Linked DNA regions of Sus scrofa. The protein of the gene in region 3 purifies or fractionates together with the protein of the main gene of each other region. This does not show direct contact. Links are inferred from orthologs where the notes say so. Each region holds a gene or a part of one and is shown on either strand. Other genes may lie near its edges. The genes, in order: DNAAF2, CPSF3 and UBE3D.

Region 1 (3,374 bases), about 96 Mb from region 3:
ACTAGTACCCATGAGGACACAGGTTCGATCCCTGTTCTCGCTCAGTGAGTTAAAGATCTGGTGTTGCCATGAGCTGAGGTGTAAGGTTGTAGAACTCGGCTCAGATCTGGTGTTGCTGTGGATGTGGTGTAGGCCAGCAGCTATAGCTGATTGGACCCCAGCCTCCTAAAAAGACAAAAACAAAAAAAACAAAAAAACCCAAGGGATGTTTTCATACTGTAATAATAACTTCCAAAAAGTTCTTTTAAAATTTAGTTTTAAAAGTCATTAATAAATAACCTACTATAACATATGGTGACTTACCTATGAATGAAATACACAACTGAAGCAAAAATACTGAAGTTCATTCAGTGTATCTGTATTGTTTGGATCATTTAATATTGGTTAGTAAAGTTCTTTTCTCTCAGACTCTATGACAAGCATAAATGCATCCTGTTTAGTGAGACTTAATAAACGCATGGTTTTGAGATTCTTCTCCCCCAACATGTGCTCTAGTGTGCTTCTAGTTAACTGCATTTTTGAGAATTACTTTTTGTGAAGGACACAACTTAATGAAATCTTTATTTTGAACTTTATTAAAGTAATGGCAAGTAAAAGAAGCCAAAAACAACACAGAAATAAATATAAACAGGCTGTATTAAAACTAGATGTATATCTCTCCGTTAGAAAAAATAAACATCAGAGGAATCACAAAACTTATCTCCATAATTAAAGAAGCTTTGTATAAACTCTCTACATGCAGAAAAATAATTATCTACAGTTTCCCCATGACAATAAAAATTGCAAATTTTCATTTTATACTTTATTGAATGCCTTTGGTTTTTGGGTTTTTTTTTTTTCCTTGTCTTTTTGCTATTTCTTGGGCCACTCCCACGGCACATGGAGGTTCCCGGGCTAGGGGTCAAATCGAGCTGTAGCCACCGGCCTACGCCAGAGCCACAGCAACGCTGGATCCAAGCCACGTCTGCGACCTACACCACAGCTCACGGCAACGCCGGATCGTTAACCCACTGAGCAAGGGTAGGGACCGAACCCGCAACCTCATGGTTCCTAGTCGGATTCGTTAACCACTGCACCACGATGGGAACTCCTGAGTGCCTTTGGTTTTAAGATAGTAAACTGAAAGAGAATATTTTAAGTCTAAAAATTTTTACTCAATCTTTAAAATTATATATAACTAATCCAAGTCATAAAGCAAAGAATTCTGAAAACTAAATGGGCAATGAGTGACATGATCTTTAATAATCTGCACACTACCATCCTGCATATTGGTTTCCCTTAAGTTGTCAAAACCAGGTGTATCGTGACCTGTGGTTTTGTTCAGTGATGAAGGTGGGTGATCTCCACCTAATTCTTTCTCTTCAATTTTCACTGGTCCTTTTAAATTATCTTTTGACTCTGCAAATGGCTTCTGAGAAACATCAAAAGCCCCTTGTTGCAAGCATGCAACCAGACCACAACTGTTGGCTTCTAGTACTTTGACTGCTACAGATGAATCAGAATTGGTTGTTGAGGAGGTAGGATGTTCTAGATTTTCTTTTTCAGTTAGATGACTTTCTTCATTGGCTCCTTCTTTGTTTTCATGAAGCTGCTCAGAGTTATCACATTCTTGCAACTATGTCAAGAGAAACAGCAAGTTAATAATTCTTTGAAACAAACAAAATTAAATTGTTCCCTCTGGAAACTTTTTTCAAATTGGGAAGGAAAAACGCAGGAGACTTGCAGATAGGCTTTCAGGCTTCCCCCTCAAAGTCATCCACCAAATGCTACCAGTCATTTCTAAACAGTGCAAATCTGGCATTAATTTCCTGATTAAATACTTTCATTGACTCCTCTTCAAGATAAATAATCCTGGCCTACAAACACTTTAATATGGCCTATAAAGCCCATTAGCAGTCATCGTGGGGGTTTTTTTTGCTTTTTTTATTTTTAGGGCCACACCCATGGAATATGAAGTTTCCCAGGCTAGGGGTCTAATCAGAGCTGTAGCCACCAGCCTATGCCACAGCCACAGCAACGTGTGATCCTAGCCGCATCTGCAACATATACCACAGCTCACAGCAACACCAGATCCTTAACCCACTGAGCGAGGCCAGAGATCAAACTGCATCCTTATGGAAACTAGTCAGGCTAAATGACCCATGACGGGAACTCCTAAAAGTCATTCTTATAAGGGCATTTTGAACTTGAGTTTTCTTGCATTTCTGTTAATTTTTCAGCTCCTCTTCCCCCAGTTCACATATAAGTCAGCTGTATTAGTTACTAAATTATTATCAAGGAGTATAAAAATTATCAAGGAGTATAAAAATAACCAAATTTAAGATTCAACCAGAAAGAATGAACAAACTGTATGACACAGTTCCCATGGTTTGAGAGTCAAAAAGGCTTGTTTTTCCTTGGACTAGTATAATTCCTGAATGCTAGTTTCTCTCTATTCCTCACTGGACAGTTATTTGGGGATTAAATTAGATAAGTGTAAATGAATTGCAGATGTGTAGCACATAGTAAAATATATAGGAGTTCCCGTTGTGGCGCAGCAGAAATGAATCCGACTAGGAACCATGAGGTTGCGGGTTCAATCCCTGGCCTTGCTCAGTGAGTTCAGGATCCAGCGTTGCCGTGAGCTGTGGTATAGATCGCAGACACGACTCGATCTGGCATTGCTGTGGCTCTGGCCTGTGGCTACCACTCAGATTAGACCCCTAGCCTAGGAATCTCCATACGTCACAGGTGCAGCCCTAAAAAGGACAAAAGACAAAATAAATTAATTTTTAAAAATACATATGTCTATTCCTCTTAACATAACCCTTCCCAGCCATTATGTACATTTAGTTTAAAGTTACATCAAGAAATCAAGAATCAGGAGTTCCCAACATGGCTCAGTGGTTAACGAATCCGACTAGGAACCATGAGGTTGCAGGTTCGATCCCTGGCCTTGCTCAGTGGGTTAAGGATCCAGCATTGCCTTGAGCTGTGGTGTAGGTCACAGACACGGCTCGGATTCCACATTGCTGTGGCTCTGGCGTAGGCCGGCGGCTACAGCTCGGATTAAACCCCTAGCCTAGGAACCTCCATATGCCAGACGTGCAGCCCTAGAAAAGGCAAAAAGACAAAAAGCCAAAAAAAAAAAGAAAGAAAGAAAGAAAGAAAAAGGAATCAAGAATTAAGTTATTTGTTAGGTTTCAATCTTGTCCCAAATCACTATGCTATAGAGCCCACGAAAATCCTTACCTTTGCATGTATTTCAATCTTACTATCAGTAACCTGAAGAACTTCTATTAATGGTGAGCTTAGGGGCATTGTCTGTTTGAATGGAGAGCTTAGAACCTCTTCAAGAAACTCATTAACATTTTCTTCATTGATAAATAACCTTT
Region 2 (4,366 bases), on a different chromosome or scaffold from region 3:
AGGCCATGGGCTCAGGGGAGAGAGGGACCTGCCCAAGGCCGGGGGCCCTCGTGCTAACCTAGGTACGCCAGCCCCCCCCGACCAAGGCCCTGGCGTGGCACTGCGTGCGGGCGGCGGCTTCCTAGGGGTCTCCCGCTGGGGATGGGGCAGCTGGGCTGGCCGGACCCTCAGAATACAAGAGTGACTCCGAAGAAACAGTAGTTCCGGGGAGCCGGTTGACAATTTTACGATTTTGGAAAGTACTTCCTCAATTTACGTGACGTTTTGTCAAATTGCTAAGGGGAAGGGTTTATGAGGTTTCCACGTGAACACTGTACAGAGACTACATGCACCAACCAGGCCGTGCGCCTGGGCGCTAAACAGATAGCCACTGAACTAGGAAGGGCTTAACAGCCAGCGTGGACAGAGCCACACCGCTAACCTGGCCACAACGTAATAGTTACCATTATCTTTCTTCCTTTGAACTCCAGAATAATACATGATCTTCCCACTTCTTGCCCAGCGCCACTGTAAACATTCGAGAGAAGAAATAAAAAAACAATTAAAAAAGAATCAAAATGAAGGCCAATAAGTTCAAACTTTTTTTACAACTTAAACTATTCCCCTTTGGCAGTTCCATGGGGACTCAGTGGCTTAAGGAACCAGCAGTTGTCACTACGGTGGCGTGGGTTCAATCCCTGGCCCGGGAATGTCCACATGCCTTGGGTGTGGCCAAAAATAAATAGATACATAAATAAGAAAAAACCCATGTCCCAGTTGATGACAGCAAGCACTTGAGGCAGATGAGAGGCCACAGAGTTACAGAGGCAGGGAAGAATGGCGTCGATGTGGGAAAAGATGAAAAGTGACCTTTGGGAGCTTAGGGACCTTTCCCCTGTTAAAACTGTGAGAGAAGCTGGCCCAAACCTGAGAAGCCCAAGGGTTAAATCCAACCTTCTGAACGCTATGGTTAAATTACGATTATTTAAGATGTAAACTAGCAGTCATTTAGATTATCTCACTATACTTTTAGAATTTAGCACTTAAGGATAAACCCATAGGCACTTCAACATTCTTCCATTTTCCATAAGGCGATAACATGCATTTACCAAACAGCTTCAATTTAAATAGACTTACTCCTGCTTGTGAATCTAATCCCATTTCCTTCTACTTGCCATTGTGTCAGTACACTTAATTTTCCTTTCTTCTTAAATTAATAAAACGGCCTCATTTCTCCACCATCACAAGACTTTAGGTTAAACCTCCTGTTTTTCCAATCCCTCATCGTCTCTGATGCTTTTCCTGACCATTCTAGCTCATGAGTCACCTAGTCATTCAGCATCAAGCAGATTCTATTTGCTGAGCAGTGCATTAGGTGCCTAGCATGTGGAAAGGCCCAATGCCATGGCCCTGACCTCAAGGAGCCCAGAGCCTCCCAGGAGATCAAGGCGAGATGGGTCTGTCCTCAAACCGAGCTCCTACTTCAGAGCAGGCTGTAGATAAAGCCAATCAAAGCACCGCAGTGCTACTGTGGACTCCTGGCCTTCTACGCTCCCTCCAAAGGGTGCCAAGTGCACGCAGTCTCACAGTTAAGGGTAGTGATTATTTCAAATTTATCTCCCCTTACTGCAATTTCCCAACCATCTATCCTACTCTTTATCTGAGGCACAGACTTTGTCGGCATCAAAAAAATGATACAGTTCATTTGTCAATTTCCTCCACTTACCAACCCACCCACAGGGTTCCCTCCACTTCTCTTGTAACGGAGACCAGACCCCTTCTGAGGCTAAGGTTTTCCTGGTGGTTCTACACTCTGCACACACCTTCCTTCCGAGCCACTGACACCTGCTGTATCCTTGGCTTTTCCCTCACATCCTTTCTCTGCTATCGGCATGTATTTATTTTTAATTTTTTAATTTTATTTTTTAGCCATACCTGTGGCACACGGAAGTTCTGGGCCAGAAAGCAAACCTGCACCACAGCAGCGACCAGGGCCACTGCAATGACAACGCCAGATCCTTAACCCACTGAGTCACCAGGGAACTCCAGCCACTGGCATTTAAACCCACTAATGTCATGCTCATGCCCAAATTAAAATCCCTTCTCCACTCAGTCATGTCACTGCAATCAGGCTTTTGAACCACCCACTCTGCTCCGTTTCAGTCCTTTTCTCTCTGTTCTCCCATCCGACCCACTCGTCCTTCTCTGAGCTTCTTTCCTGACTTCACCATCGCATCCTGTCCTGCTGGTTTTTCACCTTAGTTTGCTTCACTCGGCTGCCTCTGCTCATCCTTCAACCGTTGCTATGCCTAAGGTTTCCCCGGCCCTCTTCTCGGCCTTCCTGACCTTCATTCGCATATTTCTGACATGCTGACAACTCCCAAGTCTGTATCTGTGGCCCAGATTGTTCTCCTGCATTGCAGACTCTAAGAGTCACTTGGCATTGGTATCTCTCCTGGGTCATTTCATAGGCACCTGGTATTCAAATAAACCAGACCAGTCCTCTGCCCCTGCTCTTCTTTCTTTCTGGAACTCTCTCCCTCCCATGCTGGCATCACTGGCTTCTTTGTATCATGTGCGTCTCAGTTCCGACGTCACCTCCTCATTTGCCCTTCACACCATATTCCACCGTAACACTTACAACTACATAAAGTTATCATATTCACCAACTTGTGGCTTGTTTCTCACTATTAAAATGAAAGCTCCCCAACAGCAGAGAAATTGTCTATTTCACCAGGTACAGCTACAGTGCCTGACCTGCAATAAATCTCAAAAAATACTTCAAGAATGAGTAAAAACTCCCAAATTATAGACCCTGGAAACATGATGCTACACGAAAGAAGCCAGTTACAGAAGATCACATGGTGTAACCCACTTATATGACACGTCCTCAACAGGGCCATCTGTAGAGTCAGAGAGTAGAGGAGTCGTTGCCTAAGGCTGGGGAATTTGGAGGGGATGGATATACAGGGCTTCTCCCTAGAATGAGTGAAATGTTCTGGAATTAGAGGTGACAGTTACAAAACTCTGTTCTATGTTAAAACCACTGACTCATACACTTCAAATGAGTGTTGGTGTGAATGCCATCTCGCTCAGTCTGCTATGAAACAAAACTCCCAAATTTACTCTAGACCCGCCCCGGCTCCTGTACTCCTTGAGTGAATAACATGTCCCCTTGCCAGTTGTCCAACCTCAGATCGGTCGTGGCAACGCTGCCCTCTGCTCTGCCTTCCCTCCCCCAAGCTGCCCTTCCCAGCACATCTGCTCAGGTACAAAGACCTAAAGAATTCCCTTTTTTACTCTCGCAAGCCTCTTTCCAACCCACCGCTCCTCACGTCACTCATCCCAAGTTCTCACTGCTTATCACTTGGATTAGAACCTGACTAGTGTCCCATGAGGATGTGGGTTGGATCCCTGACCTCGCTCAATGGGTTAAGGATCTGGCATTGCTGAGAGCTATAGCTTAGGTTGCAGAAGCGGCTCAGATCTGGCATTGCTGTGGCTATGGTGTAGGCAGGTAGCTGCAGCTCTAATTTGACCCTAGCCTGGGGCCCTCCATATGCTGTGGGTGCGGCCCCAAAAAGCAAAAAGCAAAATCCATCCTTTTAATCATCTCCTACACTAAAGCTAGGAGCATCTTTGCTCTTCCTAAAGCAAAATTCCCACCACATCTCATTCCCACCTAAAATCCCTTCTTGGCTCCCAGTAACTGGCAATAAAGATGCCAACTCCTTACTATGTATACAAGGTCCTTCCTAAGCCTCTACCAGCTCATCTGCTAATTGTTTAGCCGCAGCCACGAGACTGGCCACAAACTGAGAACTGCTCTGCCTGGAACATCCTTGCGCCCACACTTTAGCTATTTTTAATTCCTCCTCATTCTTTGCCACTCAGCGCACGTATCGCATTTTTCAGGATGCACGCAATGGCATTCTCTTCTCTGCTGGAAACCCCTTTTCCATGCGCTCACGGCCTCCGCGCAATGCCTTTCCACGCCACTATAGCAGTCGCCATTGACGGAGCACGTACCACGGCCTTTACTCCGCAGAGTTAAGTGTTGCTGTATTATTTCCACATGAGGACACGGGTTCAGTGATGTTGTGTCCTAGGAATCGGTAAGAGTATAGAAGGGATTTCAGGTCTGCCTCCAAAGCAATGCTCTGCTCTTACTCCAAACTCTCTCTCCAGGACCTGTCATTTGGCAATTCTCTCCAAAAGGGTGAATTCAGTGAACTCAGCACTCTTACCACATCCCTACTGCCTAGTGTGGTGCTTGGCACGGACTCAGTGTTTGCTGAACACAGGAAGAGAGGACGGGGGTGAACTGAGCAGTGGCTAACTTGTGTTATGTCCCCAGTAGGTGCTCAATGAGTCTGTATCAAATCAA
Region 3 (3,650 bases):
GCCTGAGAACTTCCATGTGCTGCAGGGGCAGCCCTGGGAAAAAAAAAAAAAAAAAAAGTCTATAAGGGATAAAAAACATTTATAAAGATGAATTTGTACAACTTTTTGGAAGTGATCACTATCAGAGTTTAAAATACACAAATTCCAACACTGCATAAGATTAGAAAGATCTGTTTCTAAAGTACTAAAATACATGCACAAAGATTATTTTCCTTGCAGCACTATCTTTAACAGCCATACAATGGAATTCTAGTCGTTAATAAGAATCCAATTCACAGATTTTTTTTTCTAGCCACACCCACAGCACGCAGAAGTTCCAGGCCAAGAATTAAACCCATGCAACAGCAGTGACCTGAGCCACTACAGTGACAAAGCCCGATCCAGTCACCAAAGAACTCCAATAGTCCAACACACATTTACACTAACAAAAAATAATCATCACAATAAACTGTTGTGTGAAATATACATGTTGAAGAATGATACCAATCACGTCGTTATGCCAGATAGGGAAAAAAACACGTTGACATACACATATCAGACTGTTAATAATGGTGCCCTCCAGATGGTATGACAGAGTGGGGCAGAAGAGGGGACATGAAGGGGAGCTACGACTTCTTTCATCTTCTTCCTGTTGTCAGAATGCACTAATTTTACGAAAAAGTAAATTTTTTAAAATTTAAATATGCATTAGTAGTAAGTTTAAAAAGTTCCTACTCCTGATTTTCCATTTGAAAACCTTGCAATAAAAGCAAATTAAAGCTGATTTCAGAATCTGACTCTATGAGATACACTTAGTATCAACTTGAGTCAGAAAATATTCTAGCTCTAAGTAGAAATTATCTGGAGGAGTTACTGTTGTGGCTCCATCAGGTTAAGAACCCAACATAGTGTCCGTGAGGATGTAGGTTTGAACCCTGGCCTTGTTCATAGGTTAAGGATCTGCTGTTGCCGTGGCTGTGGTATAGGCCAGCAGCTGCAGTTCTGAATGACCCCTGGCCTGGGAACCTCCATTTGATGCAGCTGTAGGGAAAGAAAGGAAGGAAGGAAGGAAGGAAGGAAGGAAGGAAGGAAGGAAGGGAAAAAAAAAGAAAATAAATTTTCTGGAATTAGAGAAGCCTGGGGTTCCCGTGATGAAGGGACAGCCCCAGAGCCACACCTAATAACAACTTCAACTGCTTCCTTCCTTCTAGATACCAGGCACTTTTGTTCTATCTGGAGCACCCAAGACAGTGTCTTTCCAATAAGAAGTGCTCGGTATATACTGGTTGAATAAAACAGACGTGGAGGCAGAGAAGAGATTTGGGTCCTGATGCCTGAATTTTCACATTATGTCTCCAATTCTTTTCTGCACAATAGTGTTTTGAGTAGGAGTAGTTTAATATCAGATGCTTGTGGTGCATATGGGGATGGATCTTCCCCCAAACCTGTCACTACATCAAAGTGCTGAAATCAGGATCTCAAAGAAATATCTGCCCTGCCACATCCATAGCAGCACTATTTATAACAGCCAAGATGCAGAAACAATCTAAACATCCACCAACACTGAATAGAGGAAGAAAATGTGGTACATAAACCAGCTATACTTCAGCTTTTAAAAAATGAAATTCTAGGAGTTCCTATCATGGTGCAGCAGAAACAAATCTGACTAGGAACCATGAAGTTTCGGGTTCAATTCCTGGCCTCGCTCAGTGGGTTAAGGGTCCAGCGATGCTGTGAGCTGAGGTGTAGGTTGCAGAGGCAGCTCAGATCCCAAGTTGCTATGGCTATGGCATAGGCCAGCAGCTGTAGCTCCGACTGGACACTTAGCCTGGGAACCTCCATATGCCATCTCTAAAAAGACAAAAGGCAAAAAAAAAAAAAAAAAAAAAAAAAGAAATTCTAAAAAAAATAAAAAGAAAATGAGATCCACACATCCAATGGAAGATTATTTAGCCTTAAAAGGAAATCTTGTAATATGTGACAATCTAGATGAACCTCGAGGACATTATGATAAATAAGACAAGTCAGACACAACAGGATGATACTGCATGACTCCACTTACACGAGGGATCTAAAATAGTCTAGGGAGTTCCCTGGTGGCACAGCAGGTTAAGGATACAGTGTTGTCACCGCTGTGATGCAGGTTGGGTCCCTAGCCACAGAACTTCCGTGTGCTATGGGCACAACCAAGAGGAAATAAAATAAAATAAAATAGTCTAGAAGCAGAGAGTAGAATGATGGTTGCCAAATGCTGGGGGGAAGGGAAAACAGGGAGTTGCTAATCAAAGGGTTTAAGGTCTTAGGCAAGCTAAGCTCTAGACATTTGCTGTGTTACAATATTATGCCTATAATTAACAATGCTCCGTTGTGCACTTAAAAATCTGTAAAGAGGGTAGGTCATGTTAGGTGTTCTTACCACACACATTCAAAACAAGAAAACAAAAACAGGAGCAACAGAACATATTTTAAACATGAGAGTACCAAATAGGCAAAAAATGTGAGAAAGATGGAACTGCGTTACGCTGACCAAGAAAGCTACTAAAAACTGAGAGTAAAAATATTTTGCGGCATGAGTTTCTACAGAGCAGGAATCAGGCATTAATTCTCTCTAAATCCCTCATACCTAGCACAAAGAGGCATTTACTTCATTTGTTATTAAATTAAGGGAGTTTGATTCATGAATGGAACTGATAAGAAAAACTCAATTTTGCATATTTATTTTCTAGAACTGAAAATTAAGAAAAAAGAATGGCCAAAAACAAACGAATTTCCAAGGCCCTGGGTTATTACGCTACGAAGAGCTGAAATAATTTCACCTAAGAGGGTAAAATAATTTCTTACCAGGATGTACACTTTGCCGTCGTGACCTTGAATAGTGAATCTAAAAGTGCTTCTAGCAGAGGAGAGTTCCATCAGACACTGGGCAATAACGCTCTGTACAAACTGAGACCTGTTTGAACAGAAACCAATTTTCAGTGTGCCTCTCATAATAATTCTAACTGGCATGAAGAGCCAAAAATACCCATAGGGTAACTAAAAGGCAGAGGTGGGTGCATGGCAGACTTTTCTATATGCTGCCCATTCCCTCACAATCTGTGCTCCTTTTAATCTATTTTAATGTGTTTGTGTTTGCTCCAGTCTTTCTATAACCTATTCTCCAATCCTTAATACGTTTTCCACTGCAAACCTAACAATTCCCCCCACTAAATTAAAAAAAAATATACTGTTAAAACAAGTCAATACTCCATTTGTGCTATGGCACATTAAACAGTGAATAAGTAAGTTAAAAAAGAATGTGAGAAATTTCCTCCAAAACATTGAACAGTACTATCGCCAATGTTTTCCAATTGTATCCCCTGGAAGTGTCAGCTCCAAGGTACAGAATCAAAGTATCTACGGGAGGATAAAGTTCAAGGTTATAGTCAGAGAGCCATAATTTTTAGACACCAATATATGAACTTAAATAAAGACATATACCACAGTTAACTTTCGTATGCACAATAAAGACATATACCACAGTTAACTTTCGTATGCACAACTAAAATGACTCAAAGAAAAGGAACACCAATGGATTTAATGACTAAGTAATGCTCTTTTTATTTTATTTTATTTTATTTGCTTTTTAGGGCTGTACCCATGAGTCATTTGAAAACTGACCCATGTTTCAAACA

What was found.
Region 1: the proteins of UBE3D (region 3) and DNAAF2 purify together in Homo sapiens (affinity purification with mass spectrometry; 4 studies listed by BioGRID and IntAct, counting the BioPlex papers as one, with this or other methods). This does not show direct contact. The link is inferred for Sus scrofa from reciprocal best matches to the Homo sapiens genes UBE3D and DNAAF2.
Region 2: the proteins of UBE3D (region 3) and CPSF3 purify together in Homo sapiens (affinity purification with mass spectrometry; 4 studies listed by BioGRID and IntAct, counting the BioPlex papers as one, with this or other methods). This does not show direct contact. The link is inferred for Sus scrofa from reciprocal best matches to the Homo sapiens genes UBE3D and CPSF3.

The regions. Positions count from the first base shown.
Region 1 is NC_010443.5:179,481,654-179,485,027, forward strand, and holds the end of DNAAF2 (protein kintoun), read right to left. Parts: coding exon 3,232-3,374; intron 1,616-3,231; coding exon 1,178-1,615; 3' UTR 536-1,177; downstream 1-535. UniProt on the Homo sapiens protein: Required for cytoplasmic pre-assembly of axonemal dyneins, thereby playing a central role in motility in cilia and flagella.
Region 2 is NC_010445.4:126,900,397-126,904,762, forward strand, and holds the start of CPSF3 (cleavage and polyadenylation specificity factor subunit 3), read right to left. Parts: upstream 2,907-4,366; 5' UTR 2,398-2,906; coding exon 2,278-2,397; intron 597-2,277; coding exon 589-596; intron 508-588; coding exon 444-507; intron 1-443. UniProt on the Homo sapiens protein: Component of the cleavage and polyadenylation specificity factor (CPSF) complex that plays a key role in pre-mRNA 3'-end formation, recognizing the AAUAAA signal sequence and interacting with poly(A) polymerase and other factors to bring about cleavage and poly(A) addition.
Region 3 is NC_010443.5:83,174,878-83,178,527, reverse strand, and holds part of UBE3D (E3 ubiquitin-protein ligase E3D), read right to left. Parts: intron 2,930-3,650; coding exon 2,821-2,929; intron 1-2,820. UniProt on the Homo sapiens protein: E3 ubiquitin-protein ligase which accepts ubiquitin from specific E2 ubiquitin-conjugating enzymes, and transfers it to substrates, generally promoting their degradation by the proteasome.